Linked DNA regions of Ovis aries. The protein of the gene in region 5 interacts with the protein of the main gene of each other region in a pairwise test. Links are inferred from orthologs where the notes say so. Each region holds a gene or a part of one and is shown on either strand. Other genes may lie near its edges.

Region 1 (4,448 bases), on a different chromosome or scaffold from region 5:
AAAGCACTTCTTCCTCCACCAGTCACACAGCACAGAAGACCCTATTTTATCTATGACGCCAGTAACTCATCCACCAAGCTGCTCAAGCCAGAGACATGGGAGTCATTCCTGCCATCTCCCACTTTCTCAGCCCCACATCCAATCCACCAAAATCTCTCATCTGTTTTCTCATCACAAACACTACCAGCACCCAAGTGCAAGCTACAGATGTCACCTGGATTGCACTCTAATTGGGCTCTCTTTGACTCTTGGTTCACCCAACTCATTCCTCACTGGATCATGCCACTCCCCAGATCCCCAAAACTTATCAGCAGCTTCCCGCTACCCCTAGGCTACAAAATCTTGGCTGATCTTGGCCCTCACCTCTCCAGCCTTATCCCAGGTCACTCTCCCCCTTGCTCTTTATTCAGCCCCACCCTGCTGAGCTCCTGGTACATAATAAACATTCACCACATGTCTGCACAATGAATGAAGGGGCTATTTCAACTGAGTAAACTAACTGCCCCAGAAGTCATGCTCTGTGGTCCAAGAGACAAAAGCCTTTGGGCCAACCCTGTAGGACTCCTCCACTACCCAGGGCTAGATCTCCCCTTTCTAAGTGGCAGTACCCTGACCACAAACGGGAGGCAGAGGCATGCAGTCGGCCATCACTGGCCGGGCTATCTGGCAGCTTGGGCTGCAGAGAGGGGAGCCCAAGGCTCAGTACTGACCTCCTCGGCATTCTCCAAGTCATCGAGCCCTTCATCCTCCTCCACGTCATCAAAGTCGTCTCCATCAAAACTGAACAAGTGTAAGAAGCCCGTTAGTTAGAGCATCACTTATTAGAATCAAAGTGGGCAGAAATCTGAGTCTCATGTGATACGTAGGAGGCTCTCAATAAATATCCACCTAACCAGTGAATCATTCAATAAACCAGTCATCTGACGTCCTCATCTTAACTATGGGCCTCTTCTAGAAAGAGACCCCAGCTGAATCAACATTTGGTACAGACAGACATAGAGCCCGACTCAGTGGAAGTTTGCTGAAAGATACTTTTTCACTGATCCTCTCTGGACCCTCGAGTCGGAGCCTTTTCCGCGCCCAGCCTCTGACCGGGTCTATGCTCCTAGTTCCCAGCCTTTCCCTTCTCCGGCTCTGCGGACGCCCTCACCACCCCCAGTCCTAAACCTCTGGCTCAACTTCCTTCGACCCTGGCTCCTGCTTCATCCGCCCCTTCTGAGTCTTCGGAAAAGTCGTTTCGCTCCCTCACTCACTTGTCCTCGTTGTCTGACATGACGCCCGCGCAGCAGCCACCGGGTTCCGAGACCCAAACCCGCGCGGAGACCGGCGAACAGCGTACCTCCGCCTCGCGCGATGCCAAGAGTACTCGGCGCCTGCGCTGTGACCTAGCGGTAATCACTTCCGGGAGGCAGGCGGGGCGAGAAATAGGCACATGCGCGGAGCAGTTTGTCTGCGTTACCATGGTAGCCGGAGCCGCGCTTGCTGCAAGCTCTAGTGGCTGAGATCTCAAAAGTATTTCTGGGAGGGACCAGGCGCGGCTGCTGCTTCAGAGCCTTGGTTACGATCTCCGGAGCCCAGCCGCCGCTCTCTGTGAGGAGAGAGGCCACCCAGCCGGGGTCTTACTTTAGGGTGAGGTTTCCCGTTTGGGCGTATCACACAACGGGCACGGCTACCCTCACTCCCCTTTCCTCCCGAGGGGGCTTCCCTGCCACAGGCGCCAGGTCAGGATGAGGTCTCTGTTCGCGTGTATATATCTGCCAGTGGATCTGTTCGAGGTGGGAGGATCGGGCACTGTCGCGATGTTGACAGGCGGCATCACGATCTCTTGAGACCCTACACCCGCTCCCAAACTTTGGGTGGTGTTGAGGGTGTGAGAAGAGATTGGATCTGGGAGACCGGGAATGTTTCATTGGGTTTTTCCCTCTTCAGAGCCCTCCCATGGCTTCCCAGGAGAGGGTGGAGACGGTGACCAAAGGAACAGGGTTCTGGCGCTGTCCCAAGCCGACCACTTACACCCCAGGGACCTGCGAGCTGCTCAGAGGTCAGTGCATTAAAGGGCACAAGAAGAGCGGTGGTTACAGTTACCCTCTGTTTCTCAGTTCTCCCCTACATGACTTATGGCTTAGTAATTGTATTTTCAGTTTACAGATAAGAAGCCTGGAGTTCAGAAAGGTTCAGGCGTCCAGCTCCTACAACTTGGAAGTGACCCAAAGTCAAAGAACTAAGAATTTCAGAGTGGTTAACTCCCATGAACCCCTTAGATCACACTTTCAGTTTCCCCAGGGAAGACTTATTTGCTCTCCACCCATCATCACCACAGTGGAACCAACTGTTATGCATCTGCACACTGATGCTACTGCTACCGCTAAGTTGCGTCAGTCGTGTCCAACTCTGTGCAACCCCATAGACAGCAGCCCAACAGGCTCCTCTGTCCCTGGGATTCTCCAGGCAAGAACACTAGAGTGGGTTGCCATTTCCTTCTCCAGTGCATGAAAGTGGAAAGTGAAAGTGAAGTCGCTCAGTCGTGTCCAACTTTTAGGGACCCCATGGGCAGCAGCAGCCCAACAGGCTCCTCTGCCCATGGGATTCTCCAGGCAAGAGTACTGGAGTGGGTTGCCATTGCCTTCTCCTAATAGTCTGCACACTACCAAATACCTTTTCCTTCACTGGGCTTAGTGCAACCTGTACTCAGATACCTAGTGTGTTCCACTGAATTAACATTGAATTAACATTCAGTTCATGAACGCCATCAGGGCATGATGCCTGTTTTGGCTCACATTTGTAGCTCCAGCCCCTGGCACGTGCTCAATGAATACTTGTTCATTCACTGTTTCATTCACTCAACAAAAATAGTTTTAAAGCCCACTGTGTGCTTTAGACATTATCCCGGGTGCTGAAAACACAGCGGTAAAGAAAAGAAATAAGCAAAAATTATTGTTCCCTTGGAGCTAATATTCTAGGAGGAAAGTAACAAATAATAAATAAGGTATATAGAACTTAGATGGTGATGAGTGGTATAGGGGGAAAAATGTAGAAAAGGAAGGGAATTCCCATGTGGTCCAGTGGTTAGGGCTCAGTATTTTCAGTGCTGGGAGGCCCAGGTTCAATCCCTGTTCAAGGAACTCAAATCCCACAAGCCAAGTACGCAGGCACCCAGAATGGGAGCAGGAGGCGATACAGTATTAAGTTTCAGTGGGGTGAGATGAGGCGTCTGCTTGCAGCCCAGGAAGCCTCACCAAGGTGCTTTGTTTTGCAGTGATGATGAAGGAATCCAAACTGACTAACTTCCAACAGCGCCACATCATGGACACCATGAAACGTAAGAGGCTGACCACAGAGGCTTCCCGGGGAGAGGAATTCTGGGTCACATTTTAATGCTCTCTCCATGTTGAGGAGCAGGGGACCTAATTTTAAACACACACACACACACACACACACACACACAAACAAAATTTGAATAGTATTTCTGACCCTTGCTCTTGGGGAATTGACCTTGCAGGGTCTTGGTCTTTGCTTCTTCACAAGACATGGGTCCCAGTCCATGAGCCTCTCCCACAGTCCAGCTCTAGCCGGCCTTCCTAACAGGGCATCAGCCCATTCGGGACTTCCTGCCCAGTCAGACAGTCTGAACGCTGTCAAGTCCGCAATCTCTCCCACCCTCTTACACACATAACATATGAGCTCTCCAGACGAGAGGCCTGTGTGTGTCTTATGCATAGTTTTATTCATTCTAGCTTAGCTGGCAGAAACACGATTACTGGCAGGCTTCCAACTTAGGAAAACTATGCAAAACTTTTCCATCTTTCACCTCTGACCACACACTGTATTATTTATTTTTAAGGAAAAAAAAAAAAAACTGAAGGTAACAAGGTGCCCTCTAAGATCTTGAGAACAACCTTGCTTTCTGAGATTTAACTGAATCAGCTTTTAGGGGATCAGAACAGAGATCTGTAAAGTTACCTTTAAGAGGATACCAGAAGGTTCAAGCCTGCCAGGTTTCACGCAAATCTACCAATAGCTATTGCCTTCTTTCAAGAAAGAAGGTGCCTATCAGGAGACATCTGGTCAACCACAGAAACTGGAATGGGAGAGTCAGAGAGACAAATACTGACTGCCCAGTGCTGGCTGGGGGAGGGAGGCTCCATCAGGTCAGTTCAGAAGTCAGATCTCCTTCCTTTTTGTGGACAAGGACAACTCAGGCTGCCAGAGCCTAACACCACAACACAGCTGAGTCACATAACTCAATTTCCAAACTCAAGTCATCTACTAATCATCTGATGTCCCTTACAGATCCCCTGGAGAAGGGAATGGCAACCCACTCCAGTATTCTTGCCTGGAGAATCCCATGGACAGAGGAGCTTGGCAGACTATAGTCCATGGGTCGCATAGAGTCAGACATGACTGAGCAACTAACCCTTCCTTCCTTCCTTACAACATGACCATAAAGA
Region 2 (4,435 bases), on a different chromosome or scaffold from region 5:
ACATTAACTCTGCCTTTATTCTTAACCATTTTTTCCATTTGTAGTCCAAAGAAGAAAGACTGTTTTGAAAATAACATAACCATTTTCTCTATTTAAATGCATTATTTCCATAGTTAGAGTGAAATTACTCACCACCACCATTTTTCCATCCACCAACTTTCTCTTTATTGTTGTCTCTTTGCCATCCCATTTCTGTACTTGATTCAGTGAGCCTCTTGCCAAGGTTACAGTGCTCTGCAGAGACACATTCATATAATTGAATTTCTAAGACTTTGATTAAAGAAGCAGTTCATTCAGTACTGAATCATTTTCATAACAGATGTTTCATGAGGCACATTCATTTTTCAACAGAATGAAGTGGGCTACCCTTTTGAACACTAGTGGGAATAATCTGTCTCAAAGCAGTTGATGGAACTAACTTTGAAGAGAAACAATAAAGTTTACCTTTGTTTTTCTATTGTCAGCTGTGGTTTCTTCAAATTCCTGGCCTAGCTTGAAGGAGATCTCTGTGTTTTTAAAGGGACTTTCAGTTCTTATGGTTATAATATCCCCTTTCTTGCTGATGATCACTCTGGGTTTGGCCAAGTTTCCCAGTTTTCTGGTGGCTAATCCCACACCTGAAAATCAAGATAGTGTTAGAATTTTGTTGACTCAGAGAGCATCTACCTAAAGGGATTATATGGGTGGTTACATTTTATGCTCAGCTGTGCTTCGTGTGTGTAGGTGGCAGATAATATCACTTACTACTAAGGATCTCCTCCCATGTTTCATCACCTGATGGAAACACATGCCCACCAACATGGATATTTAAAATTTTGTTATTACAATAGTAATGTCTGAAGATTTTAAACACAGAAGTATTTAGCCTAAATAGTGCAAGTCATCTACTTTTACCTTATCCAATCCCATGCTCCATTGAGAAGCACTAATTAGAGTTTTGTATGGATCATTCCAGGCATTTTAGTTTGTACAAATAAATATTGTAGATATATTTTTAAAATGAGACTATGACTTATATATGCTCTTCTATGGTTTTTTCCCTCTGTAATATATTACAGATATAGATAAGAATTCTTCCCACATCCTTGATGGAAACTCATTTCTGAAAGTTTGTTGTAGTCCCTAAATTATTTGTACCACTGCAAATGATAGAGATAAATAAAATAATTAAAAAATATTTTTCCATTTGATAGCAAAACAAAATTAGACTCAAGTATCATTACTGTATTACTCGATTATAGAAATACATAGAAAAATAGAAATGTAAAATGAGAGAGACACAAAAAGAAAAAACCTAGTTATATATAAATATACATGTATTTATGGCTATATATACATAAAGTCAGAGAAGGCGATGGCACCCCACTCCAGTACTCTTGCCTGAAAAATCCCATGGACGGAGGAGCCTGGTAGGCTGCAGTCCATGGGGTCGCTAAGAGTCGGACACGACTGAGCGATTTCACTTTCACTTTTCACTTTTCTGCATTGGAGAAGGAAATGGCAACCCACTCCAGTGTTCTTGCCTGGAGAATCCCAGGGACGGGGGAGCCTGATGGGCTGCCATCTATGGGGTTGCACAGAGTCGGATACGACTGAAGCGACTTAGCAGCAGCAGCATACATAAAGAAGTGTGAAGAATTAGAGCCAATAAAGGATTATGAGCTGTATTCTTTTTTTCTGATTCTGATTAATTGTTTCTTATTTGATGTGATTTTGGACTATGTTTTTCAAACTAAACTTCTGCAATAGAGCCTAAGAATCTACATTTCACCAAGCCTCAAGGTGTCCTTTTGCACTTTAAAATTTGACAATGATTCAGTTAGGGAGTCTTTTATTGAGATGTTCTTATATTTTGCTTCTGTCTCAGCTGTACAGTGAAATCCATAGATCTAACCAAACTTAGAGTATGAATCTATTCCCATAAGCTCCCATAGTTTTCCAGGCAATGCAACATGATTTTGCTTATTTTATCTAAAAATAGAAGCCTTCTTAAAAGCTTTCTGAATAGGTAAAATTACTGGTACTTTGATGACCATAGATACCTGAGGTCATTGGCTTCTTTCTCTCCTTATTTATACAGCTCTGGAAATTTCCAAAGACTGTTCACACCACTTGTGCTCATATCTATGGAACATTTCCTAGAAATAGCTGCAAATAAAGCTGATGGTGGTCATGACTAGACTTTCTGTCTCTATCCACTGCTCCAACTGAAGGAAAGCATGATATTAGTGTAATCGAACTGGAATTCATTGTCACAACAAACTTCCTTTTTCCTCAATAACTTTCCTAGACTGAATATCCTGCTTTATGAAGCATTCACTTTTCACAAACATTTATCCACATACTTATGTAATATCAGACAATCTAGAGGTAGAGAAAGAAAATTCTGGCTTAGCTAAATAGCACTTTTAAATGGAGGTTTTCCATTAACTTTAGTATATTTAACTCTTTACTTCATGAACACTTTAGTTGTTATAAAACTAACTTTCAGAAGAGCTGAAGAATGGGTTGACTAAGTTTCTAAGATTTCTTTCCTCTGGGTTTGAACCAAAATCCTATTGATATGAAACTGCCTTTGAAATCGGTAGGCATTCTAATGCATTTAAGCAGCTCTTATTTGAGTTAAAGTCTATTAAAATTGCCACAAACATAGTGAAAATTATCTGATTGACACCATGGAAGATTAATCCCAGAAGAGGGTTGTACTTCAACCTGTGAAGCTCCCAGACTCCTGGGAAAGGAGTTAGAAGGAAATAGTCAATGCATTTTTCTCAAAAAGGATCTTCTTAATTAGAACAACAAAGAACATTTCTTACCCAGAGCTTTCATGTACTCATCAAAGTTCTCACTGGAGACAAGTTTCCAGGTGCCTAGGAATTTGTTGCTCATTGTGATGGATGAGAATTCAACCCAGTGGTAGGTGAGATTCAGGAGACTCAAATAAGATGCTGAAGCCTCAGAAGATTCTTTTCAAAGATGTCTGAAGCATGTGACTCTTACAGAGACCCAATGGGGAAAAGCAGTGTCAGGACTGGGCAATGAATGGCTCTTCAATTATCCACTGGGACAAAAGGAAACCTCACATAATGTCTCCTTCAGTCTCCAAAAATGTTTATAAAAGTCAATGAGAGTACTATTTGAATCTTTAAAAATTTTGGTTGATCTTACATTTTTAAGAAGTGCTTCGGTCCTTAACACTTTGAAAAAGAGTCCATAAATTGAGCCCTATACTGTATTAAATTATATGGGCATGAATGAATGAATACGTGTGTGTGCGTGTGTGTGTGTGCTTAGGCATCTTGCTCACTCTCAATCCTGAGTCTGCACAATTAAGAATTCTTATTGAAAGAGAAGAAAGAGAGGAAAAATGTCCATGAGTATTGTGATAACTGCCTCAAATATGTTGTGGGAGAGAAATGCAGGAGAACAGTGTGAGGACGTATTCATAGGTAAGGAAGGCTTGGAATAGTTGGCATATCCAAGGCAGGCAGAGTAGGCAGACAATACGGTCAGTTTATTGCAGCAGAGCACAGAAATTGCTTTCATGGGTGAATAAAAAGAGTAGCACTAAAACATGCTCTTTGACCATAGCAAAGATTTTAATCTTAAAAAAACATTTCAGGTCCAAATTAAGCAGGTTCTTGGTTAATAAAACAAGTTTGAGTCCTTTAAAATAAGTCTATAGTTTTAGAAAGGATATTTTATAAAAATAATATATATTGAGAGCTCAATAGTCACCATGATAAGTGCTTCTTATGGATTATTATATATGATCCTTTCAACAACTCCAAGAGTAAGGCATTATTATTGCATCCATCTTATCAATGAGAAAACTGGAACTTGGGGAGGTTAGGTAGCTTGTGTCCAAACTTGAATAAGGAGAGGTATGATTTGAACCTGGTATCGTTTCTCAGTGCATAGATGTTAGACCAATATTTTACACTGCTTCTGCTATAATATGGGCTTCCCTGGTGGCTCAGAGGTTAAAGCGTCTGCCTCCAATGCGGGAGACCCGGGTTCGATCCCTGGGTTGGGAAGATCCCTTGGAGAAGGAAATGGCGATCCAGTCCAGTATTCTTGCCTGGAGAATCCCATGGACGGAGAAGCCTAGTAGGTTATAGTCCATGGGGTCGCAGAGTCGGACACAACTGAGCGACTTCACCTTCACCTTCACCTTCTGCTATAATATATATGCTGGAGGTCCTGGCCAAAGATCAGGCAACACGCTGATATCACCATGACTGGATAGAGACATTCACTCTCTGCTCGAAAAGCAAGAGAAGTGTGACTTCTCGGGTGGTCCAGTGGTTGGGAATCCACTTGCCAAAGCAGGGGACATGGGTTCAATCCTGGGGTGGGAAGATCCTAAGTGCCACACAGCAACTGAACCCAGGAGCCACAACTACTGACCCCATGTGCTGCAACTAGTGAAACC
Region 3 (3,784 bases), on a different chromosome or scaffold from region 5:
CCTGAGGAGGAGGCCTGAGGCCCACCCTGCCCCAGACGCAGACAGCCGAGCAAGCAAGGCCAGCACGCACCCCACGACTGCTTGTTCCCCCAGGAGACTGGTGGCAGGCGAGCCTCCGGCGCCACCTGGCAGGGAGGGCTGCCCTGGGCCCCGCGAGGCGCCAGGAGGGCAGCAGGGGGAGCAGGCGCGCTCTGTGCAGGCAAGGCTGGCGCTGCCCCGCCCTCAACCACCTGCCCTCCTCTTCCTCCTCCTGGGCCGGGCCTCCCGTCAGGCTGGGTGATGTGAGGGGTCTAGGCACAGAAGCCTCTCTGGTGCCCCCGGGCCCACACTTCTGAAAAGTGGACAGCAAGCCCCTCTAATTTATCCCAAGAAGTGTACGGTGCTCATGCGCCGAGTGGCTGAGAATAAAAGGCTTCTTCATGCTTGGTCCCACGTGCTGCCTTGCCCCGCCAGCTCTCCGGCCAGCGGCCGCTCGTGCCCACCTTGGGTGAGGAGGCCTTGGAGCCTGAGCACCCCGCCCGCCACCAGCACATCTCAGTTCAGGTCTTTATTGAAAGTGGCAGGAGCCTCTCAAGATGCTGTGAAAACTAACACCTTAATCTCAGAACACCTAGGGAAGCAAGGAGGTTTGATTTTCTTAAAAAAACAACAATCTGGCCAACACGAGTCCTTATGAGAAGACACAGTGCCTGCTCCAGCAGCAGAGGCGAACCTACGGCCGCCAAGGGTGGGCGGGCCAGGTGGGAGGTGGCAGGTCTGCCCCGCGCGAGTCCCTGCCCCTCCGCCTGGCAGCGAGCGGAGCCCCAGGGGCCAGCCCGGCCTCGGGGCCTCAAGGAGACCAAGCCCGCCGCCTCCGCCGCCTCCGCCGCCTTGGCCTAGCCGGGAGGGGGCGTGGGAGGGCACGGCCCTCTGCGGGGCGGGGGCACGGCCCATGGGGTGAGGCTAGGATGGCACAGGGCCCTGGTCAGCACAGCCCCGACCACACGGCTCCAGGTGGAGACTCTCCTCCCGGGTGCAGACAGGGCTTCAGCGGGTTGAGGTCAGGTGGTTTCTGCTGTGGGAAAACCTGCAGACCAGAGGCCAGGTCACTGCTCCGCCCTGGGCGCGGTCCAGGCCGGGGGACACAGGACCCGCAGAGCCAAGCCCCGCCCGGTGAGGAGGACCCACAGCAGCCCGCCGCCCCCAGGCCCTCACCTCTGCACCCGCTCCACCAGGTGGGCCATCAGCTTGTCCGAGATGCCTGGGCAGGACTCCTCGGCCAGGCTGAAGGCGTTCTCCAGCTCCTCCAGCGCCCCCACGCCCCCGCCGCTGCGCTTGTGCTTCTCCTTAAGCTGCACGGACACCCCCAGGCACCTGACTGGGGGCCAAGGGGGCGCCTCCCCGCCCCACCCGACCTGTGACGCGCAGCAGGAGGCAGCGCTGCCCCACTGTCCCCCCGAGCGCCGAGGAGGGGCTCCCAGGACGGGCGGGGCCTCCCAGCCTGCCCTGGCCCCCCCTCCTCCAACCACGAGCCTTCTCCCAACCCCAGTCGCAGAAGCCCGCAGCCTAGATGTGCGTGAGTGGCCCGGCCAGCCCCGCCAACCTGGCCACTGGGACTAGGGGCCCACTCACACCCCGTGGCTGTGGAGGCCCCACGAGGAAGCAGCCTGGCCGGGGGGCTGGAGACGGGTCAGCCTGCTCGCCCAGCACACAGAACAAAGGGGCAAAGGGCACACACCTCTCTGGACACCCACCCGGCAGCCTGACCTCAGGCCAGCCCACAGAACAGGAACCCGAAGGGGGCCCAGCCAGCCCGGCTGTGGCCACGCCTCCCACCCACCTCACACCCCAAAGGTGCCAGCCCCAGAGCGCTGCTGCATGGCCCCAGGAGCCCCCGTGCCCATGGACAGCCCGCCTCCACCCGCTCCCCTCCCCACCTGCCCTCTTCCCCTCCCGGGCACCGCGGGCCCAGGGTGGGAGCCTGCCCACCCCCACCTCCCTTGGCGCGGCTCCGCTGCCTCCTCTCAACATGCACCCCTGCTCCCGGGCTCCAGGGCCAGCGTCACCCTGGGTGTGAACCTGGCCACAGCCCACTGCTGGTGACTCACCCCTGGGGATGCTGCTGACTGCCCTTGAGCAAGTGACACAGACGCTGGGCCACGTGGCCAATGGGCAGCGGCCCTTAAGGGCTCCCTGTCCAGGGCCTGACACCCAAGACAGAAATCTCCCAGGCTCTCCCTAGACGAAGGATCACCCCGTGTCTGTGGTTCTAGGTGACAGGTCCCAGGATAGCAGCTCATGTTCAAAGCCCCCGGGGCCCCAGAAGACCCCGGCAGGCTCGGGATCTTGAGGGTCACCTGAGGCCGGCTTATCCCGGCCATCTCTGGTCCTTCCACTCAAAACGCCGGGTCCAAGGGGCCAACCTCACGAGCCCCGAGGGACCCAGACACCCTGTGCCGCACCAGCTTGGCCCTCACCTCTCCAAAGACGGGCCGGACCAGCGTGGACAGGCACTGTGACCTCGGCTGCCTCTTGACGGGCTCTGCCGACTACAAACGCAGAGCATGCGGAGGTGAGCAGGGCAGAGATGGCGGGGCGTGGGCAACTGCAAGCCACCCCCCAAGTCTGGTCTCCTAAGAGCCACCCTGGGGGAGCGGGCGTGCCCAGCAGGTGCCCCCACAGCCCGCTCCCTACGGCGCGCCCGGGGCCAGGCCGACCTTCTGGGGGCCATGCAGGGCCGTCCCCTTGTGCAGCTTGCCGTGCGGGCTCGGCCGGATGGTAGGGGGGAACGTCCAGATGGGCCCCTGCTCTCCATCCTCGGGGTCTCCGTCTCTGAAGGGGACAGTGGGAGGTCACACGGGGCTGGGGGTCAGGAAGGCCCTGAGGTGCACTGGTTCACAGCCCCAAAGGCCGACCCCTGCCCTGGAGAGCCCGCCTCAGCCCCACGGGAAGAGCAGGCCCTACATGTCGGAGTCCTCGGAGCTGGACTCCTCGCCATGGCCCTCCGACCTCCAGCGCTTGTAGCGGTCGATGAGCTCCGTGAGGAAAGAGGTCTTCTTAGTATAGCGCGTGATGAACTTGTGCTTCAGGAGCTCCTTGGCGGTGGGCCGCTGCCGGGGACGCACAGGGGTCACCAGGCGCCGGGCAGCTGAGCCTAGGTGACCCCAGGTGGCAGGGGCGCCTAGGGGGGCTGGGTGGCTCCACACTGTCTTCCCCAGGGGAAGGGCCTCCCTCCAGACCCTCCTGGCCTGGGCTGGGGGCACAGAGGAGCCCGCCCTGGCACAGCGGAGGGGCCTCTGGCCCTGTCACCTCTGAGCTCCCACTACAGACAGCCAGCACGCCACTCCATACACGCACATGCGCGTGCACACACCCCCCTCAACTGTCCTCTGGAGCCCAGTGCCAGGGGCCCCAACTACACTCAGCCATGCAGGCCCCCTCACCACTCACGAGCTGGGGGCAGGAGGCGCTTACAAATCGGGGGTCCTTGTTGAGGCAGGCCTCCACAAACTCCTTGAAGGGCTTGCTGTGGTGGCCCTCGAGCGTGGGCGGGCTGTTCTTGGGGATCAGGAACAGGACGCGCATGGGGTGCAGGTCGGAGTTGGGAGGCTCGCCCTTGGCCAGCTCAATGGCTGTGATGCCCAGCGACCAGATGTCGGCCTGAACAGAGAGCCACAGGGCCGCTGCAGCGCAGGCCGCCCGCGCCCTGCTGCCCCCGGCCCCCGCCCGCGCCCTGCCGCCCCCGCGCCCGCCGCCCCGCCCCAGCCCACCTTGAAGTCGTAGGCCGACTGCTTGATGACCTCGG
Region 4 (4,556 bases), on a different chromosome or scaffold from region 5:
TAAGGTGCCCACAGCACCCAGGAGGAGAAGGGGATACAGGTGCTGATTTAGCACAACTGTGGGGAGAGGTGCAGGCTGAGGAGAGGCCATGTGCTATGCTGGAGAGGCTCATGGACCCTGGTCCCAGGGTGACAGAGTTTGAATCCTTGCTGCATATAAACCGGAAAATTGAGGTCCCTCCCCATCTCCATTTCCTCATCTAGTCCTAGGCTGCAGCGAGGGGCTCTTGAGTCCCTCCTATAAAGTGCTTGGAAATTAGTACCTGGTGCATAGTGCATGCATGCGTGTGCTCAGCTGTGTCCAGCTCTGTGCTGTGCTTAGCGGTTCAGTCGTGTCCCATAGACTTGCGACCCCATAGACTATAGCCTGCGAGGCTCTTCTGTCCATGGGATTCTCCAGGCAAGAACACTGGAGTGCGTTGCCATTCCCTTCTCCAGGGGATCTTCCCAACCCAGAGATCAAACCCATGTCTCCCTCCTCTCCTGCATTGACAGGCAGATTCTTTAATCACTGCACCACGGCCAGGTGCATAGTAAGTGACTCGTTTGAATCGGTCTCCTCCCATGGGAAAAGTCCCTTTACCAGGGTTTGGGGGAGATGACCCGGAGGTGAAGAACAGAGTTAATGACTGACCTTCAAGAGACCCATAAGTTGAAACTCGGGAATGGAGCCGGGGGTGGGGGGGTGGGGGGGGGGGGGGGGGGGGGGGGGGGGGGTGGTGTATGGGGGGAGGAAAGGTTCCAGGTGAGCAGGGCGGTGAGGAAACGGAGTAGGGACTACTTTGAGGGGGAAGGAGAGGGGGCTTTCTAAATGGTGAATTTTTTAGCTCGGATGCTAAAGGGAAGGGGGGAGGCACTCAGCTGGATAGAGGGGATGGTCAATGGGACAGGGTTGGGGGTCGTACTTGGAGTGGGGGTAGGGGGCTGGGGGATGCACTCAATCTGTCCCCTCTCCCAAGATGGGTTTTCCTGGGGATCCGTGCGGATGGCAAGTTTGGGGAACTGAAGGGCAGTCTCAGGAAGGCAGAGGGTCACGAGGGAAGTTTGAAACAAAGTTTCCACAGCAACCCAAGGCTCCGAGTTCCCAGCCCAGGCTCTTTCTGACAAAACCACTGAGACCTTCAGGCAGGATGGGAGGGACCCTTAGGAGCCGGGGACCCCGCCTCGCCCCGCCCAGTCAGGCCAGCCAGAACCCTTTATAAGTTAAGGATGGGGTCCAGTGGCCCGAGACCGAGGGTCAGTAGGTGGCGCCGGGGCTGAGCCGGCGCGGGCTACGGATTCTGCAGGAAACTCGGGCGGGACCCATAGATACAAAGGGTCCTCTACGCCCGGCTCCCTGTCCAGCGGGCCTCCAGAGGATGAATGGGGATGGCTAGGCCAATCCGAGAGCAGGATTCACAGCCGCTGGCGCAGGGGCCAATCGGATCCCTGGCGTGGCCGCGAGGCGGGGACAGAGCCAATCAGCTGTGAGGACAGGACCAGGGGGGCGGATCCGCGCGGTGTTTCAAATCGACTGGATGGGCGAGGAGCAGCTATGCACGTCGTCTGGTCAGCCTCGGGAGCTGTTGGGTGAGTGCGGGCCGGGGCGTGGTGGGGTTCTGTTCAGAAGGGACGGGAGCAGGTGGGGTGGGGGACCCCTAGTTAGGACGGGCACGGCATGTGGGGCTTCTGGGTACAGCCGGATGGACATCGGGGTGTCTGGTCAGCCCACCTCCGCGCATTGGGTCAAGGCGAGCTCGTGAAAGAGTCCCTAGCCCAGCCTGGGCCAAGTGCTGAGGCTCAGCGACGGCCGGCGGGTCCTGACTGCCTCCCTCCCAGCCTGAGGCAGATAACGGAAAGTAGCCTGGGATGAAAAGACAGTTAATTCAGACACTCACAGCAAGGGACGCCTTGCTGGCCGGCCTTGTCCAGACTCTGCCCTCTCCCGGGCCTCTATGACCTCACTTCTAGGAAGAATTCCTCCCCACGGTTGACAAGCGACCCACCCCATGGGCCCCAGGACTGGAATCTCTTTCTCTGGTACCCGGTGTCTCACTGGATCCTGGGAGTGGGATGGGGGATACCCTGCTGATCTCCCATTGATCTCCTCCCCAGGGTCTGTGGGAACAGAACAGACTCTTGAACAGTCAGATGGCTTCTCGGTGGCCAGCTGTGGGGGCTTCCCTGCGTCGGAGGTCTCTCCAGAACCAGGAACGGTTGGAGGAGAGCGAGGCCCTGCAGCCTGTAGCCGGCCACCTGGACACCTCCAGCGGGGCCCTGGGCTCCCTGCGCAGACAGTTCCAGAGGCGGCTGCCCCTGAGAGCAGTCAGCCTCAACCTCGGGGTGGGCCCCTCCTGGAAACGCCTGGAAACCCCAGAGCCAGGGCAGCAGGGCCTCCAGGCTGCAGCTCGCTCAGCTAAGAGCACCTTGGGTGCCATGTCCCAGGTAATGCCAAGTATGGATGTAGGGCTTCCTTGATGCTGAAAAATGGCTGCCCCCAAAGATCTCCCAAGAATATAGACTCTGTGAAGACAAGGTCCTTGATTTATTAGTGTCCCCAGCTCTCCAAACAATTCCTGGTACACAGTAGTGCGTGCACGCTAAGTCGCCTCAGTCATGTCTGACTCTTTGTTACCCTATGGACAGTAGGAGCCAGGCTCCTCTGACCATGGGATTCTCTAGGCAAGAATACTGGAGTGGGTTGCCAGGCCCTCCTCCAGGGGACCTTCCCAATCCAGGGATCGAGCCCATGTCTCATATCTCTTCTGCATTGGCAGGCGGTTTCTTTACCACTAGCGCCATCTGGGAAGCCCATGGCACCCAGTAGATGCTCAACAAATAGCTGAATGAGTGAATGAAAACAGGGTTGTGGAGGAAACAGAACATCATGAGACAAGATGAAAGAGCTATACTGTGATAGGAAGTTGCTAATTAGCAAAGGGCTAATGGTGGGGGAACACCAAAAACAAGCTTAGTCAGTGAAGGTGACTGGAGGAGGTGACTCCATGGAATTCGCCCAGGAAAGGGGAGGTATGAGGAGGTATGAGGAGTGTACAAGACAGGTGAACTAGTCCAGACCCAGGGTTAAAGGAGAGCAAGACGCTGAAAAGAACTGGCAGGAACTTAGTCTGGGTATGGCTGGAGGACAGAGAGCAAGACAGGGCGTGAGAAGGTAGGGCACGTGCCGAACATGTTTAGAATTATTTCACTGTCTCCTGGGGGTAGGTGTGGTCTCCCCCAGGCCTCCCCTTTGAGTCTGGGTCAATCTGTCCAGAAAGAGGGTTTGGATTTAGACCAATGCAGGCTCCATGAGCCAGAGAGGTTATGCTGCCGCCCATGCACTTATCCCTGGGGGCCTGAGCTGGGTCCCTGCTATGGACCTGTGGCCTCATGGACTCATCTGCATCCCTCACCCTGAGCCTAAAGGCTTCCTGGGTCTGTAGGACCAGCTGGTGGGCCGAGGGGTTGGGGGATGCCCTGAGAAATCGGGTAGCTCACTCCTGGCTTGTCCACTCTGACTTTTCCATGCACTGGTCACAGAGGATCCAGGAGTCCTGCCAAAGTGGCACCAAGTGGCTGGTGGAAACCCAGGTGAAAGCCAGGAGGAGGAAGAGAGGGGCCCAGAAGGGCAGTAGCCCCCCAGCTCGCAGCCTGAGCCAGAGGAGCACCCGGCTATCTGTGGCTGCCCCTGCCCACTCAACCCTGGACCCCCGGGAGAAAGAGTACCACCCCCTGTCTGTCCAGATGGGCCCCCATGCCCACCCTTGGCAACGGTCCAGAAGGGAGGCTGCCTTCCGGAGCCCCTACTCCTCGGCAGAGCCCCTCTGCTCCCCTAGGTAAGTGGGGTAGTGCCTGCCCCTCAAATGCTAACTGGGCCCTGGGGGCTACTGAGCACCTTCAGGACACCCTGAGCTGAGCCACATCCATGCTCTGGCTCAGCTCTGTGCCCCACTATGGGGGACCTGGGGAGGTCCTTTTGGGCCTGAGTTTCCCCACCTGCCAAAGGAAGAGGCGAGCTTAACTCTAAGAGTATCACAGTCACCCAAGCTCCACCAAAAGTTTTTGAAGCCACCTGGCAGGGTCGGGGGGTGGAGGCTTACCTGTCTGCAGGATCATCTATCCTTGACAATGGCCTCAGCTGTTCTCTGCCATCTGCTCCGAGCCTCTCTGACGACACTTCCTAGAATGGGGGTCTGGGGTGATCAGTTCCCAGCCCACACTGGTCATCTCTGGGGCCTGTACACCAGGTCCCAGTGCTGGGTTAGAATAGGCTCCTGCCACAGGTTTCCAGCTAGTGACTGATATGCACAGCTTTTCCTTCTGTCCAGTGAGTCCGACAGTGACCTGGAGCCCGTGGGGGCAGGAATCCGGCATCTCCAAAAGGTGTCCCAAGAGCTAGATGAGGCCATCGCAGCAGAGGACAGGTGAGCCAGCTTACCGTGCTTCGAAGGACATGGCCAGGAGAGTCCCCTATGAGCCAGGCCACTTTTTCAGGCAGGTCTCTTGTTCAGACTCTGCTGTGTGAGTCTAACCATCTCTCTCCCTCTCTGAGCCTCTGCAACATGCCTTGGTCTCCTC
Region 5 (4,410 bases):
CAAAGTAAAGAAGAAATATTGATATCCAAGTTCCCCCCTCACGCTACCCCCCCAAAAAAAGTACTGTATATATATGTATGTGTGTGTGTGTTTGTACATAGACATATGTATTCATTTCTACCTTAAACATTTGAGAGCTTCAACAGAAATGAAATGACACTTGCCTTTAAGATGAACAAAAGGATGCAGGCAAATAAACAACTAAGGACACAAGTGTGATTAAAGTATAAAGTATCAGTTAACCCCCAAGAGAGCAAGCAACATATTTTTAGGAGCCACCAATAATATGTTAGTGAGACCTGACCCCACCAGGGCTTAATAAGCTAATGGTTCTGTTCTGTTCTTTCCAGCTGGTGTTTTTTAACATCCCCTTGATGGGTTACCTGTGTTGGATTTTGCTGCAGCGGTGCTTTGGTCACAGCTTCAGGTCTCATCTCCATCAAGGAAAATACTTGAAAATTATACCTGTTCACCTACTTATGTTACTGCTGTACATCTGGCATATTTATTCCTGCTACTTTCTTCACGTGACATATGGCACTCTAGCTTTTTTATTCTCCCCTTTACGGACCTGGTTGACACTGGCGACACCTGTTCTCATTCGTTGTGTTTGGACAGTGAACTCTGCTAAGCTTGGAACCTTCATAGTGCAGTTAAAAAGCCATTTGAGCTCCTGAAGTCTGTATCTCCTCATCCACCTCTGTAGCCCAGGCCTCTGCCTCAGCAGCAGGTAAAAGGCCAGTATTGATGGGCAAACATCAGGGAGCTGCTGTTCCTTGGACACCTGGGAGTTGGGGGGAATTACCTACTACTGATTCTTGCAGAATGGACTGCAGAAAACTATATAATGCCGTGATTCCTCCCTTCCTCAAGAAGGTAAAGGGTTGATTTACTTTTGTGAAGAGAAAGCTTTTATCTAGGAGATCCACAGGGCAGGGGCTGGTGGATAAGGGAGTATCTGAGGCCCACTCAGTGTGTTTTTTAGATACCTCATGTAAAGTACCTAGCACAGTGTCTGGAACTTGGCAGCCTGTAAGGAGGCCACTTTAGGGACAGGGAACGTGCAAACTTGGACCTGACCCTGACTACCCTTGTTTAGTTCCTAGTCCTTTTTTCGACAGGATTATGGGCTCTCTGCTTCCTCAGTCGGGGGTGTTTTCAACTAATCAAATACCAATAAATGAATAAGAAACAACTCGGTCTGGGTCTTGCCTGTGTCGCTAGGAGCGGGAGCGAGGCGGGGCTTTTGAGAGCGGAAGGGGTGTGGCTGGGCTTCCGAGGCGGGGCAGGTTGTTGCCGGAAGCGAAACCGTGGCCTGGAAGAGGAGCTGCGACAGCGGTGCGGCTCCGGAAGCTGTTGTGGGGGCTTGGTCCGCTGGCTCCAAACGCGGTACTGGGATGGAGAGCGCAGCTGTATCTGCAGCCCCAGACCCCACCCTGGATCCGCCTCTGGAACAGCTTCGGCACCTAGCCGGGGAGCTGCGGCAGTTGCTTCCTGGAGTGCGGGGTGAGCTGACTTAGTGAGGCCGGGTGACCGCAGGGGCGGGCTTGGGTGGGAAGGAGCCAGGCCTTGGCGGCCGCGGCGCCGGGTCCGGGCAGAGGAGGTGGGTCCGGGAGGTCGTTCCGCTTACCTGTGCTCTTTCGTTTGTCGCCGTCCGGCGCACACCCCGCACCCACTAGTCGGCGAAGCCCAGGAAACCACCAAGGAGTTTGATCGGGAGGCCTTTTGGAGAAGACTCAGTGAGTGCCTCTCCTATTGGAGACTGCTGTCTCTCATCTCTTCCCTACTCCTTTCCTTCCTGCTTCCCCCCCGCCCCAGCCTCTCTGCGGGGATACTCCTTACCTATCCTTGGTATCTCCGAGGTTGAAATATAAAACACTGATTTTTGGAGGTGTTTTTGAGACGTCTCAGCGGGCATGGGTGGAGAGGGAACGCATTATCTTCAAGGTCCGTGCAGCCGTTGCAGCCTTTTCCTTTTGGCACTAACATATTGGCTCTTGCCGCCTGCTCTGTCACTCCCCCAGATGAGGCAGCTGTGACAGTGTCAAGGGAAGCCACGACTCTGACCGTAGCCTTCTCTCGACTTCCGCTGCCGTCTCCACAGGTGGGCTTCACTTTTCTAGGATTCTTGTGCTGCTCAGTATTCCTTAAGAAGCCTCTCATTTTCTTTCCACCTTTTACACTCAAATCTGGGGATTTAATTTCCTCATCTGTCGAGTAAGGTGAAGGTTCTCACTCCACAGGATTGTTCTGAAGATCAAATTGTCAAATGCAGTAGTTGTCATGGGGTAGATGGCTCTTCTAAATATTGGTTCATTCTGAGGTCCATCCTGGTTATTTCCTTTCTGGCATTTTAAAATATACTTTCTATTTGCTAAGTGTTTTCACATACATGATCCTTTTCTGACAGATGAACAGGCAGGCTCAGAGGCTCAGTTTAAGGTAGATAAGTAGTGGAGCTAGGACTTAAATTAGGTTCTATCTGATGTTTGAGCTCCACCTTTTCTATTATACTACATAATACTCTTTTGTACTGAATTATTTTTATGCTATTATATATATTATATATTATTATATTTATATATAATAATGTAGACAGTATAAGGTTCAAAAGATATCAAAGTTAAATGTGCTAAAAAGCTTATATCTCCTGTCTTTGGTTCCTTTTGTATCATTCCATATATATGCTATGCATATTCACACTTAAGTGCATATGGCTGCTGCTTTTTACACAAGTGATAATAGTTTCTGTTGAGAAATCAGCTGGTAACCTTATGGGAGTTCTCTTGTATGTTATTTGTCACTTTTCCCTTGTTGCTTTTAATATTTTATCTTTGTCTTTAATTTTTGTCAATTTGATTACCCTGTACATGCTCAGGACAGTGGTTTTTTCATTCGTAGATGAAAAATTAAAATATGGCTTTATATGAATTATATATATTTGAATCACAGTTGCTTTCTTAGGATCTCAGCACATTAATTCTGCCAAAGAATTTTTTTTTTTTTTTTGATTCCAGTCCTTACAACGTGGTATTTTTACAAAATTATATGTTTGGATGTTGAAACAATGTCACATTGGTGTAAAAGTTTCTGAGTACTCTCAATCTTTGTACCTATCCATCTCAGACTGGTGACAGATCATTTATGGACTGGCACCATCTGTAGACCACATTTTGCATAGCACTGGCTTGGAATTTAGCAGAGCAGTGAGGACAAGGAAGATAAGGGAAAGCCAGTGACTGCCTAGAAGGAAAATAGTCAGCATTGAGCATTGTAGAGTCCATGCTAATTTCCTTTAGGTATACTGAAATTCTGTTAGAGACAGAGGCAGAGAGATAGACAACTGGTTAATGGTCTAAGATAGAGCTGACAACTTTTCTGTCAAAGGCCAAATAGTAAACATTTTAGGCTTTGCAGTCCAGCTACTCCACTCTGCCTCTGTAGTGTGAATACTATTATAGACAATTTGTAAACGCATGAGTGTGGCTGTGTCCTAGAAACATTTTATTTGCAAAAACGGGCAGTGAGCCTGATTGGGCCCTTGGGCTCTAGTTTGCCAACTCCTGGTCTAAGATATGGTGAATACCTCAAAGCTGATCACAGATATCTTGGGATATAGAGTATCAGGGATGTTTTTCCTACAGTTTCTTCTTGTCTTACTGAGTTTCTGCTCAGTACTTGGTATCCAGCTAACTCCTCCCTGGTATGTGATGAGAACAGCACAGCCTGATGCATAATAGGACTTCAGAAAATGTTTGATGATGCTGTACAGATGTCTGCTCTTTTCCCCTGTAGATGGCTTGACCACATCAATCTAATCCATTTCTTTTTTTCTTTCTGAAATTGGCTTATCATCTCCTAGGAAACGCAGAGGTTCTGTGAACAAGTGCGTGCTGCCATCAAGGCAATTATTGCAGTGTACTATTTGTTTCCCAAGGATCAGGGTAAGCCACTCCATACACATAAGTGTTCAGTTTATGGGGTAGATCTTTGCTATTGTGACAGCTTATGTCCTGAGAATTTTACCTTTTCCTCAATTTGATCATGTAATGTAACTTTCTCCCATTAAGTGCAGTCAAAGGTAGTTATATAAGTGACCTCCATAAGTAAGCCTTTGTGCTAAAGTTCAGATACTGTGTTCTCATGTCCCCTGCCTTACTTGACTCTTAATATTTTTAATTCTCACTGGCTTCTCCGTCTCTAATGCATTATAATCACCACAGATACTGCTTGGTTATCAGTGCCATCCCCAGGCTTCTTCGCCTCATCACATGCTGTTTCTGAGCTCCCTTATAGGTTAAGTGGCCTCCAGCTCTGCCTGCATCTTCGTGTCTTGATTATTATCAGGTTACAATTAGAAATGAATACATGTCTCATGGATCTTCAGGGTTACTCATGTGGTTTAAACTT
Region 6 (3,661 bases), on a different chromosome or scaffold from region 5:
ATCAGGTGGGGGCTTGGCACAGATTTTGTTTGGTTTAGAAAAACAAACAAATGTGATATTTTCACTCTCAGAGTAGAGAAATTAAATTTCTAACTGATATCAATATGAAATGACAGTAGTTTGAGCATATTAATGAGTGGAAGAACCACAGGCTTCAAATCTACTTGTGTATTTTTATATGAGAAAGTAAACAGAATCATGAAAGTATATTTGGGTGCAATACAATATAGAGTAATGAAATAAGTGAAACTGGCCTCATTTTCAACTCTTTCACATGCAGAGTTATAAATATTTTCATTGAAATTTTGAAAGATGTGGCATCAAAAGAAAGTAATCACTAGCATATTTGCCTGTAATATTGTGGAAAATCTAGTTTTAAGAAAGGAAAAATAGGGCATGAATGTTTTGCACAAAAGGATTCTTTATTTGTAAACAGAATCATTTATAATGTCACTTTAAAAAAGTCAAGGTCCCTTACTGCTTTTCAGTTTAGATTTACCAACATCAACTTCCAATATAGCTATTTACTTACCAAAATGAGTCATGCCCCTGTGATACTTGGGATATTTTTCTTTTAAACCATTTTTTCTTTCTCTTTAAAGTGAGTATATTGAGCAGGATCTCCTTTTCTTTCTGTAATAAAGACCACTGCCAATTTCTGTACTTTGTTGAAAAGGTGTTTATTTTTATCGCATTTGTATAGCACTCAGACTACTATATATTTCTGAAATGTAATCAAGAGATGGAGTGAAAAAGAAAAATCGATGGGTGTGAAAGGAAGTATATGTCGTTGTCTGTTGGGTAATTGTGGATACTGTGTTTGTTTGTAATTTAGGGCTGTTTGCTGACATTTTTCAGCTGTGGATGTGAAAAAGCCTGGTTGAAGTATCTCCTTCAGAAGCCTGGGTTGGTTCACATGCTCAGATTTCAATTGGCTTTATAACAGGTTTCCTTATGTGTCTTATGTTGGCCCCAGGTTCACTGGGTTTGAAAGGAGCCAGAGCGCCATACGGTTTTGGCAGAGGGAGAGTGGCCTCTGCCTCTGGGATGTAGGCATTTGGACGCTGCTCTGCAGTCGTGTAAACACCATTGGGCAGCTGGCGAGTTTCAGCTTCCAAGAACTCCTGCAAAGAATGATTTATCCTTTTCAGTTTTTGAAAACAGTGGTTAAATCACTTTATCCCCAGGGCCCATCAGACACAGCTGGGTCTGAGCACCCGTTGGCTATGCTGGCCAACATTCTAAGGGACAAAAGGGTGTGAGGGTAGAGTCACCAAACACACCCACCCCCACACACATTTCCTCTCACTAGAATGAACCATGTTGCTCAAGCATCACTCTGTTCCTGGGGTTTAGGGTTTACCATAAACTGGTTGGTAGGGCCTAAAGTCACCACATTTCAAACTCAGTATCTTACATTAAGCACTAGTTATTTATTTCCATGTCTGTGACAAAGGCAGGATAATCTTTTTCCTTTGGTAGGTCACTGGTGAGCAAATGGTACCAAGAAAGAGATAAGGAGTAAAAGAGAATTAGAGGAAAGTAGTCAGCAGCTTGCTTTGAGCCTCAAGATTCTGCCTGTGTTTCTGGAAAATAGGAATCTCTTATAGCATTAAAAAGAACTTGGGGGGGAAAATGGAGACAGGTAAATGACAGCTGGGACACCACAGGTAAAAATCTGAATGCCTTCAAAAATACAATCCTAGGCAGTGAGTGTGAGAATGATAAGTCAGACCCTATTTTCAGGAATTCTTAGTATGTGTTTGGAGTACAGTTTTTTCTTGGCTTAGAGAGTGAATAGTGATCTTCTGGGGATGTCTGCCCCGTAGTCAAGAGTAAGTTGTAGGTCTCTTTTGAAAGAGATGCCTAATTCCACTCTAAGATTATTGAAAAATCATGGGAGTAGGAAAAGAACTGGACACAAAGCCCCTAGGTGGGGCCAGTGATAGAGTTAGGTCCTTGGTGGGAGAAGGGTGGCACTGGAGTCATCGCTTCTGCACCAAATGCAGAGTCTTCAGAAGCCTGTGATGAGCATATGCTTGAGGCCTTACAATATGCTGTGGTGGCCACAGCAGATGGACATCGAAGAGCAAGGTATGGTCCGAGCAGGGCTGCAAAGACAGAGACTGGAGACCTAAGACAGAACCAGTGCCAGCCTGGTCATTGCCGTGCTAGCAGGAGGCCCTGGCGTGGGACTTGGTGCTTGCCAAATGCTCTCCAGGGAACATTCTGACCCTTCGCACTGTTGTACTTTGACTACGTACATAATAGCTTAAAAAAGGCAAAACTTCTCTCTAATCAGTTGTTAGGACTCTGTGTGCTGCGGAGTAGAAAAATTTCATGTATTTCAGGAGGATTGACAACCCCTGAAACAGCCCTTCCTGGCACACTTTATAAATGCAATGTAGAAAATAAAGAAGCCACAGCTTACCCGAGACTTTTCAGCGATGGCCAAGGCGTACATTTCTTCATCTCGAAGTACTTTCAGCCATTCTCTCTCAATCTCTTTATTGAGGGGAAGACCCTTTTCCATCCTGGAATTGCAAGTGAAGATGAACTCTTCCTTCTCCTTGACTTCCTTTTGGAGTTCAATGGCCATAGCTTGTTTCATGGACAGCTCAGCAACAAGAGCCATCATTTTTTCAGTAGCATCTTTGATCTTTTTCTGGTAGCCATTCATCTAGGATTGAAAAGCCCAAGGCTTAGCCTGTGTATACACTCCATGCAGACAGGCTACTGGCTGGCTGTGATAGTGGGTGGCATTCTTGCCTGAAGATGGGAGAGGTTAAGTGGGAATTCACAGAGACTAAGGACTGGAGGAGACCTCAGATTCAGCGCAACACTCTGGCTGTGAAATAAGGACAGCAGGAAGGAAAAGAAAGAGATCTGTTCATCTAGGCAACGGATTTCCAGGTGGGTAGAATTGAGGGGAATCGTTTAGTGTCTCCATATTTAAGAGGTGGTAAGAACAAGGGAAAGGATATTCTTGATGTCTTTAAGTTTTGACCTGATTTTGCCTTCTTGCTAGTTTGCTACTTATCCAGGGGGGAGAATCTGATAGAATGGAACTGTATTAGTTACAGTGTATTAACACTGGCTTAAATAAGATAATCAGCATCTGTGATGATTTTTAATAGAAGCTATTAAACATGTGTGTTTTATTGATCATAATTCCAAGGATGCACCATTATGAGGTCATAAGCAAGCATGAGCTGAACTGGACCATCTGGACAGTAATTTGATGAAATGTAATATTCCTAGTTGTGTGTGTTTACATGCATGTACTTACCTTTTCATATAAGCTATTTATCATTGAATTAAAGAATCAAAGAATTAAAAGATAAGACTAAGTGGAAATTTTGATTTTAAAGGACAGAAAAGAAGTAAAAGTTGGAATTAGTTCCTATAAGCTTTCTGGCCCACTGCATGGCCTTTCAATGTGGCCTTAGCCCTGGTGGGGCAGTAAGAGATGACTCCTCCCACCCGCCAACACTCACTGTTGTATTACTTTGCCTTAGTATTTCTTCATATCCTTTCACTACTGACATCATAGTATAAATGTATTTGGGTATAGCCTGTCATCCCACAGGAACGTATTCTTCATGGGGACAAGGTTTATTTGTTTTACTCATAATGTTCCCAGTGCTTAGAATATAGGAGG
Region 7 (4,428 bases), on a different chromosome or scaffold from region 5:
GGATGAGATGGCTGGATGGCATCACGGACTCGATGGACATGAGTGTGAGTGAACTCTGGGAGATGGTGATGGACAGGGAGGGCTGGCATGCTGCGATTCATGGGGTCACAAAGAGTCAGACACGACTGAGCAACTGAACTGAACTGAACCAGCCTTGCCAAGTCTGTCAAAGGTCATAACATCTACCCAACAAGGGGTTGTTTAGTTAATGAATCAAGCCAGGGTGGCTCCTTCATTAACAGCAAGTGAAGTCAGCATCTCTGACTTGGTCAGAGCACCACAAGTGCACCTGGGTGGGGTGCAGAGTTTGAGTCTTAAGCACAGGTTGGTACCAGCCAGCCTGTGGTAATAGCTCAACTCTGGGTACTATTATATCTCAGGGTTGCCAACTGAAAGGCACTCACTTTCTGCCTCTACAGGGATGAAGTCAGGAGCCACTGCAGCCCCTGTCTTTCAACAAACCCCTCAGCTCAGAATTCAGGTCTGAGATCAGGAGTGAGGCATCTGTGTTCTGGGAAAAACTGACAGAACAGGCCTTCATATATTCAGACATTTTCAGATTTTACAAGCCCAAATTCTTGACTTTCCTTGTGTCTAGAAAAGCAGTGAAATCATTAATGGGGACACCTGCTCCTCCTTACTAGCAGGAGCCTCTGCAAAATGTGCTTGACTCCATTCATTTCAATTGCTCAGACGTGTCCAACTGCACGCCAGGCTTCCCTGTCCATCACCAACTCCTGGAGCTTGCTCAAACTCATGTCCATCCAGTCGGTGATGCCATCCAACCATCTCATCTCTGTCGTCCCCTTCTCCTGCCTTCAACCTTTCTCAGCATCAGGGTCTTTTCCAATGACTCCTGACTCCACTAAAATAACACATAAGCCGACCTCCCCCCTCCCCCACTTCGGAACTGTTTCTCAGAGCTGAGTGGTTGTCTTCTAGGCTATAGCTCTCGTTTTGCCCCAAATAACTCACAGCTCTGTGTTGTACAATTTTTCAGTTGACAGGGCGTATAATCAGCCCAGCTCCCAGCTCCAAACCGGAACTTCAGCTCCGAGTATATTATTCTGGGCTCCACGTGGAGCTCGGAGACCTTGCCTCTCTAAGCACCAGACTGTGAGACAGCTCAGCAGTGACACCAAGTCCTACAACGCGCAGGGTTTCAACAGGTGTTTGTGCGGCGAAAGAAAACGCAGCACATTCCAAGCCAAGAACAAGGCACGATCTCTCAAAATACGGTCTCATCCCCAGTGAACTAAACACAAAGCCAGCTCAGCTCGGAGGAGATAGCCTAGCGTACCCGCCGCCGCCTGGATGGAGACCGGCTCCCGGCCGGCTCCCGGCGTGCCCCGAGGCCGGCGGCGCTGCGCTCCTGCTGCACGACGAGGGCGGGGCCGCGGCCGTAAAGCAGCGCCCGAGGTCACGTGGGTTTGGGTGCCAGGCGCCCTTGCGGCGTCTCGTGCAAGCGGGTCATGGCCGGCCCGGTGCGGGGCGCCGCAGGGCCCTGGGCCCTGGACCTGCTTCGGGCCCTGCCTCGTGTGAGCCTGGCTAACCTGAGGCCGAACCCGGGCTCCAGGAAACCGGTAAGGCGGGGGATGGCGCGGGAGTCCTGCGGTCGCGGGTCTAGAGACGCTACGGGAACGAGGGGCCTGTGAGCCCCTGCTCTTGAGTGATGCGAGAAGCCTGCCCCGGTAGTCCCAGCTCTCAGGTCGGGTTTAGAGGAGTAATTGCGTTAACCTGGGCTGGGAGCGAGGTCGCAGGAAGTGCAGATGGTTGTCTCATTCAGTGTTAGGTTAGCATGAAGTGCTTTTCCATTATACCTTTATCTTAAGGGGAAAGATATTTTACGTTCTGCAAGTCACTGAACACAGCTAGAAAAGCTGTTATGGGCATACTGTCACCTTAAAAATCAACTCGTTGCTTTTGCCAAGTAAGAAAAAAGTTTTCTTTATAATTTGGTGTCTTGACCTCAGAGCAGTTCGAATAGTGCCTGGCACGTAGTGGGTTTGGCTCGTTGCTGGCTGGAAGGATGAATGAGGGCCTTACCAACCTGACAGCGCAGAGGTGAAATATACTTTAAAAAGTGCATCTGCAGCTCATAAAACATTCTTCTCTCCTTCCAGGAAAGACGACGAAGAGGTCAGAGAAGAGGTAGGAAGTGTGGCAGGGGCCACAAAGGAGAACGGCAGAGAGGAACCCGGCCCCGGCTGGGCTTTGAAGGAGGCCAGACTCCATTTTACCTTCGAATCCCCAAATACGGGTTTAATGAAGGACACAGGTAAGTTTGCTTTGTTTGTGGTTTAATTTTTTTGCTTTGCTTCTTAGTGTAAAAATTTGTGATTCTGAGAATCACCGAATGATAGCTTGGTAGAAATTTAAATCCACTTCTTTAAAGCAAACTTCTGCTACCCTTCCTTTGAACCATTTTTGGTAATGAAGTTTAGCCTGACTTAGTAGAGGAAAAAAGCCAGAGGTTACACCCAGACTTGCAGAATGGAGGTAATGGTGCATGCTCCGGAGGTTTAGAATGATTTTATGTTTAAAACTCTGGCCCACTATCGTCACCCAGTAAATGGTAACTGCTCTTACTTTGAGATCCATTAATGCATAATTCATATAGTATGTTAAATTTTTCACATATTTATTTGTATAAATGAGTGAAGTAAATGTAGGAGTTTTATTTTAAACCAACTAAATTGATGCAGGAAAGCATGGGACAGAACTCTGCGTTTATCTGGAGGTCTTACAGGAAGATAAGTCTGGCTGAGTTTTCCATCTGTTGCTGCTTTTTTTCGTAGCTTCAGACGCCAGTATCAGCCTTTGAGTCTCAATAGGCTGCAGTACCTGATTGACCTGGGCCGCGTCGATCCCACACAACCTATTGACTTAACCCAGCTGGTCAACGGGCGAGGTGTTACCATCCAGCCATCTAAAAGGGACTATGGAGTCCAGCTGGTAGAGGAGGTAAGTCTGAATTAAATTTTCTTGGTAAGTTTCATGGATGACTGTTTCTGATTTCCGTATAATCAACACTGTGCCTCCTTCATTTTTATCTCTTTTGAGTTGTAACCATTATGTAGTGGTTGATTGTGTTATATTCAGTTGTGGTTTTAGAAAGCCACTGTTCCTTGTCCTGGGTGTTCTTCCTGTGTATCCATTCAGCTTGCTCCCTCACTCTCTTTGGTTCTCTGTTCAGATGTCATCCTAGTAGGAGGATCTTTTTAACTTTTTTTTTCCTTCCAAATTATTTGAGGCTTAAATTATTTTTATTATGGAGATGTTCTTTATAAAGGAACACTCGTATCTGACGGTCTGCCTTATTGTGCCCAAAAGGGTTTTTCTTTGAATATATGAACACCTGATATTTATTACCAGGCAGTGCAGGCATTTTTCATTGTCTTCCTCACTGTAATGTCAGTTCTTTTGAGTGCAGGTGCTTTGACTCATTGCTGTATTTTTAACATTGGAAATACTGGCTTGTGATAGTCACTCAGTATTTATGGAAGAAAGGGATGAATGAAATCCAGTTATGATTGTAGGGAAGAGGTTTTCTATTTAGAGAAGTTGGCCAGGAGTTTTATAGGCAGATGAACCTGTACGTTGTTAATCAACTAATGCCCCCCCCCACCCCCTTTTTCTTCTGTGTCAATAACACAGTTGATTGCTGTGTAAGTGACTTAGCGTCCACTAGAGGGAAGCATAGTTTATGGGAGAACCTTTCAGATCTTTGAAAAAGTAAACTTGTCGATAAAAGTTTTCCAAATTAATGATTTGAAGAGAGAATACCAAATACAGGATTAAGCCTCAGTATTCTACTTTATTCTACTTTAGGCATATCAAGGAACATGGTTATAAAGTAACAGAAAAACCCATGACCTCATGAGACCTTAAACTGCACATCCCAACAGCTTTGGACATATGTCTATTAAACTAGCAAAAATCATTCTGAAATCTATTGGTTGAGTATGTACAGTTATTCATCATTTACAGCTTTGTAAACCAGTTGCCCTTTTCTGGATTTCAGATTTGCAGTCAATATTGGGTAAATAAGATGGTTTTGATCTTTTCAGCATAAAATCACCAATTTAGGAACATGTGTCCTAAGGTAAAACAAGATAAAAGAAACTTAATTGATATAAAGAAATACTAAATAGGCTTCTTACAGCACTGAAAATGCTGGAACTAACACTAGTGCCCAGAGACAGGGAAATGGTTAAGCAGTCTATGGATAGTAATGAGAAATGTCACGTAACATGGCAAGACCTTGTTTTATTGAGTCAAAGGCCCCATTGATTGTAAAAATCCCTACCAGTATCAGAGAAGGGAGAAATGTGTCTTATAATTAATGAAATATTTTGAAACTGGGAACCACCTTGTTTCAACCACACGAAAATAGCAGAAAACTTTTTACCACTGCAAAAAGAATGG

The links.
Region 1: the proteins of CCNDBP1 (region 5) and C3H22orf23 interact in binary tests that used the Homo sapiens proteins (3 or more experiments, as listed by UniProt). The two-hybrid records come from large-scale screens. The link is inferred for Ovis aries from reciprocal best matches to the Homo sapiens genes CCNDBP1 and C22orf23.
Region 2: the proteins of CCNDBP1 (region 5) and myelin P2 protein interact in binary tests that used the Homo sapiens proteins (3 or more experiments, as listed by UniProt). The two-hybrid records come from large-scale screens. The link is inferred for Ovis aries from reciprocal best matches to the Homo sapiens genes CCNDBP1 and PMP2.
Region 3: the proteins of CCNDBP1 (region 5) and STK25 interact in binary tests that used the Homo sapiens proteins (3 or more experiments, as listed by UniProt). The two-hybrid records come from large-scale screens. The link is inferred for Ovis aries from reciprocal best matches to the Homo sapiens genes CCNDBP1 and STK25.
Region 4: the proteins of CCNDBP1 (region 5) and PIMREG interact in binary tests that used the Homo sapiens proteins (3 or more experiments, as listed by UniProt). The two-hybrid records come from large-scale screens. The link is inferred for Ovis aries from reciprocal best matches to the Homo sapiens genes CCNDBP1 and PIMREG.
Region 6: the proteins of CCNDBP1 (region 5) and CCDC146 interact in binary tests that used the Homo sapiens proteins (3 or more experiments, as listed by UniProt). The two-hybrid records come from large-scale screens. The link is inferred for Ovis aries from reciprocal best matches to the Homo sapiens genes CCNDBP1 and CCDC146.
Region 7: the proteins of CCNDBP1 (region 5) and MRPL15 interact in binary tests that used the Homo sapiens proteins (3 or more experiments, as listed by UniProt). The two-hybrid records come from large-scale screens. The link is inferred for Ovis aries from reciprocal best matches to the Homo sapiens genes CCNDBP1 and MRPL15.

Annotation. Positions count from the first base shown.
Region 1 is NC_056056.1:215,574,038-215,578,485, reverse strand, and holds the start of C3H22orf23 (UPF0193 protein EVG1), read left to right. Parts: upstream 1-1,426; 5' UTR 1,427-1,629; intron 1,630-1,929; 5' UTR 1,930-1,938; coding exon 1,939-2,041; intron 2,042-3,256; coding exon 3,257-3,319; intron 3,320-4,448. Other genes in the region: POLR2F (DNA-directed RNA polymerases I, II, and III subunit RPABC2), read right to left, coding at 711-780, 1,254-1,273.
Region 2 is NC_056062.1:57,729,462-57,733,896, forward strand, and holds the start of myelin P2 protein, read right to left. Parts: upstream 2,945-4,435; 5' UTR 2,890-2,944; coding exon 2,817-2,889; intron 618-2,816; coding exon 445-617; intron 235-444; coding exon 133-234; intron 1-132.
Region 3 is NC_056054.1:373,597-377,380, reverse strand, and holds the end of STK25 (serine/threonine-protein kinase 25), read right to left. Parts: coding exon 3,750-3,784; intron 3,640-3,749; coding exon 3,454-3,639; intron 3,090-3,453; coding exon 2,944-3,089; intron 2,812-2,943; coding exon 2,697-2,811; intron 2,529-2,696; coding exon 2,457-2,528; intron 1,332-2,456; coding exon 1,195-1,331; intron 1,067-1,194; coding exon 1,027-1,066; 3' UTR 535-1,026; downstream 1-534. Other genes in the region: FARP2 (FERM, ARHGEF and pleckstrin domain-containing protein 2), read left to right, coding at 1-18. UniProt on the Homo sapiens protein: Oxidant stress-activated serine/threonine kinase that may play a role in the response to environmental stress.
Region 4 is NC_056064.1:25,303,420-25,307,975, reverse strand, and holds the start of PIMREG (protein PIMREG), read left to right. Parts: upstream 1-1,533; 5' UTR 1,534-1,568; intron 1,569-2,093; 5' UTR 2,094-2,129; coding exon 2,130-2,423; intron 2,424-3,518; coding exon 3,519-3,814; intron 3,815-4,306; coding exon 4,307-4,402; intron 4,403-4,556. UniProt on the Homo sapiens protein: During mitosis, may play a role in the control of metaphase-to-anaphase transition.
Region 5 is NC_056060.1:36,639,175-36,643,584, forward strand, and holds the start of CCNDBP1 (cyclin-D1-binding protein 1), read left to right. Parts: upstream 1-1,348; 5' UTR 1,349-1,397; coding exon 1,398-1,506; intron 1,507-1,679; coding exon 1,680-1,739; intron 1,740-2,024; coding exon 2,025-2,104; intron 2,105-3,862; coding exon 3,863-3,944; intron 3,945-4,410. Other genes in the region: TMEM62 (transmembrane protein 62), read left to right, coding at 351-677. UniProt on the Homo sapiens protein: May negatively regulate cell cycle progression. May act at least in part via inhibition of the cyclin-D1/CDK4 complex, thereby preventing phosphorylation of RB1 and blocking E2F-dependent transcription.
Region 6 is NC_056057.1:45,402,349-45,406,009, forward strand, and holds the end of CCDC146 (coiled-coil domain-containing protein 146), read right to left. Parts: intron 2,681-3,661; coding exon 2,432-2,680; intron 1,125-2,431; coding exon 921-1,124; 3' UTR 662-920; downstream 1-661. UniProt on the Homo sapiens protein: Essential for sperm flagellum biogenesis and male fertility.
Region 7 is NC_056062.1:35,001,046-35,005,473, forward strand, and holds the start of MRPL15 (large ribosomal subunit protein uL15m), read left to right. Parts: upstream 1-1,449; 5' UTR 1,450-1,472; coding exon 1,473-1,583; intron 1,584-2,123; coding exon 2,124-2,278; intron 2,279-2,798; coding exon 2,799-2,964; intron 2,965-4,428.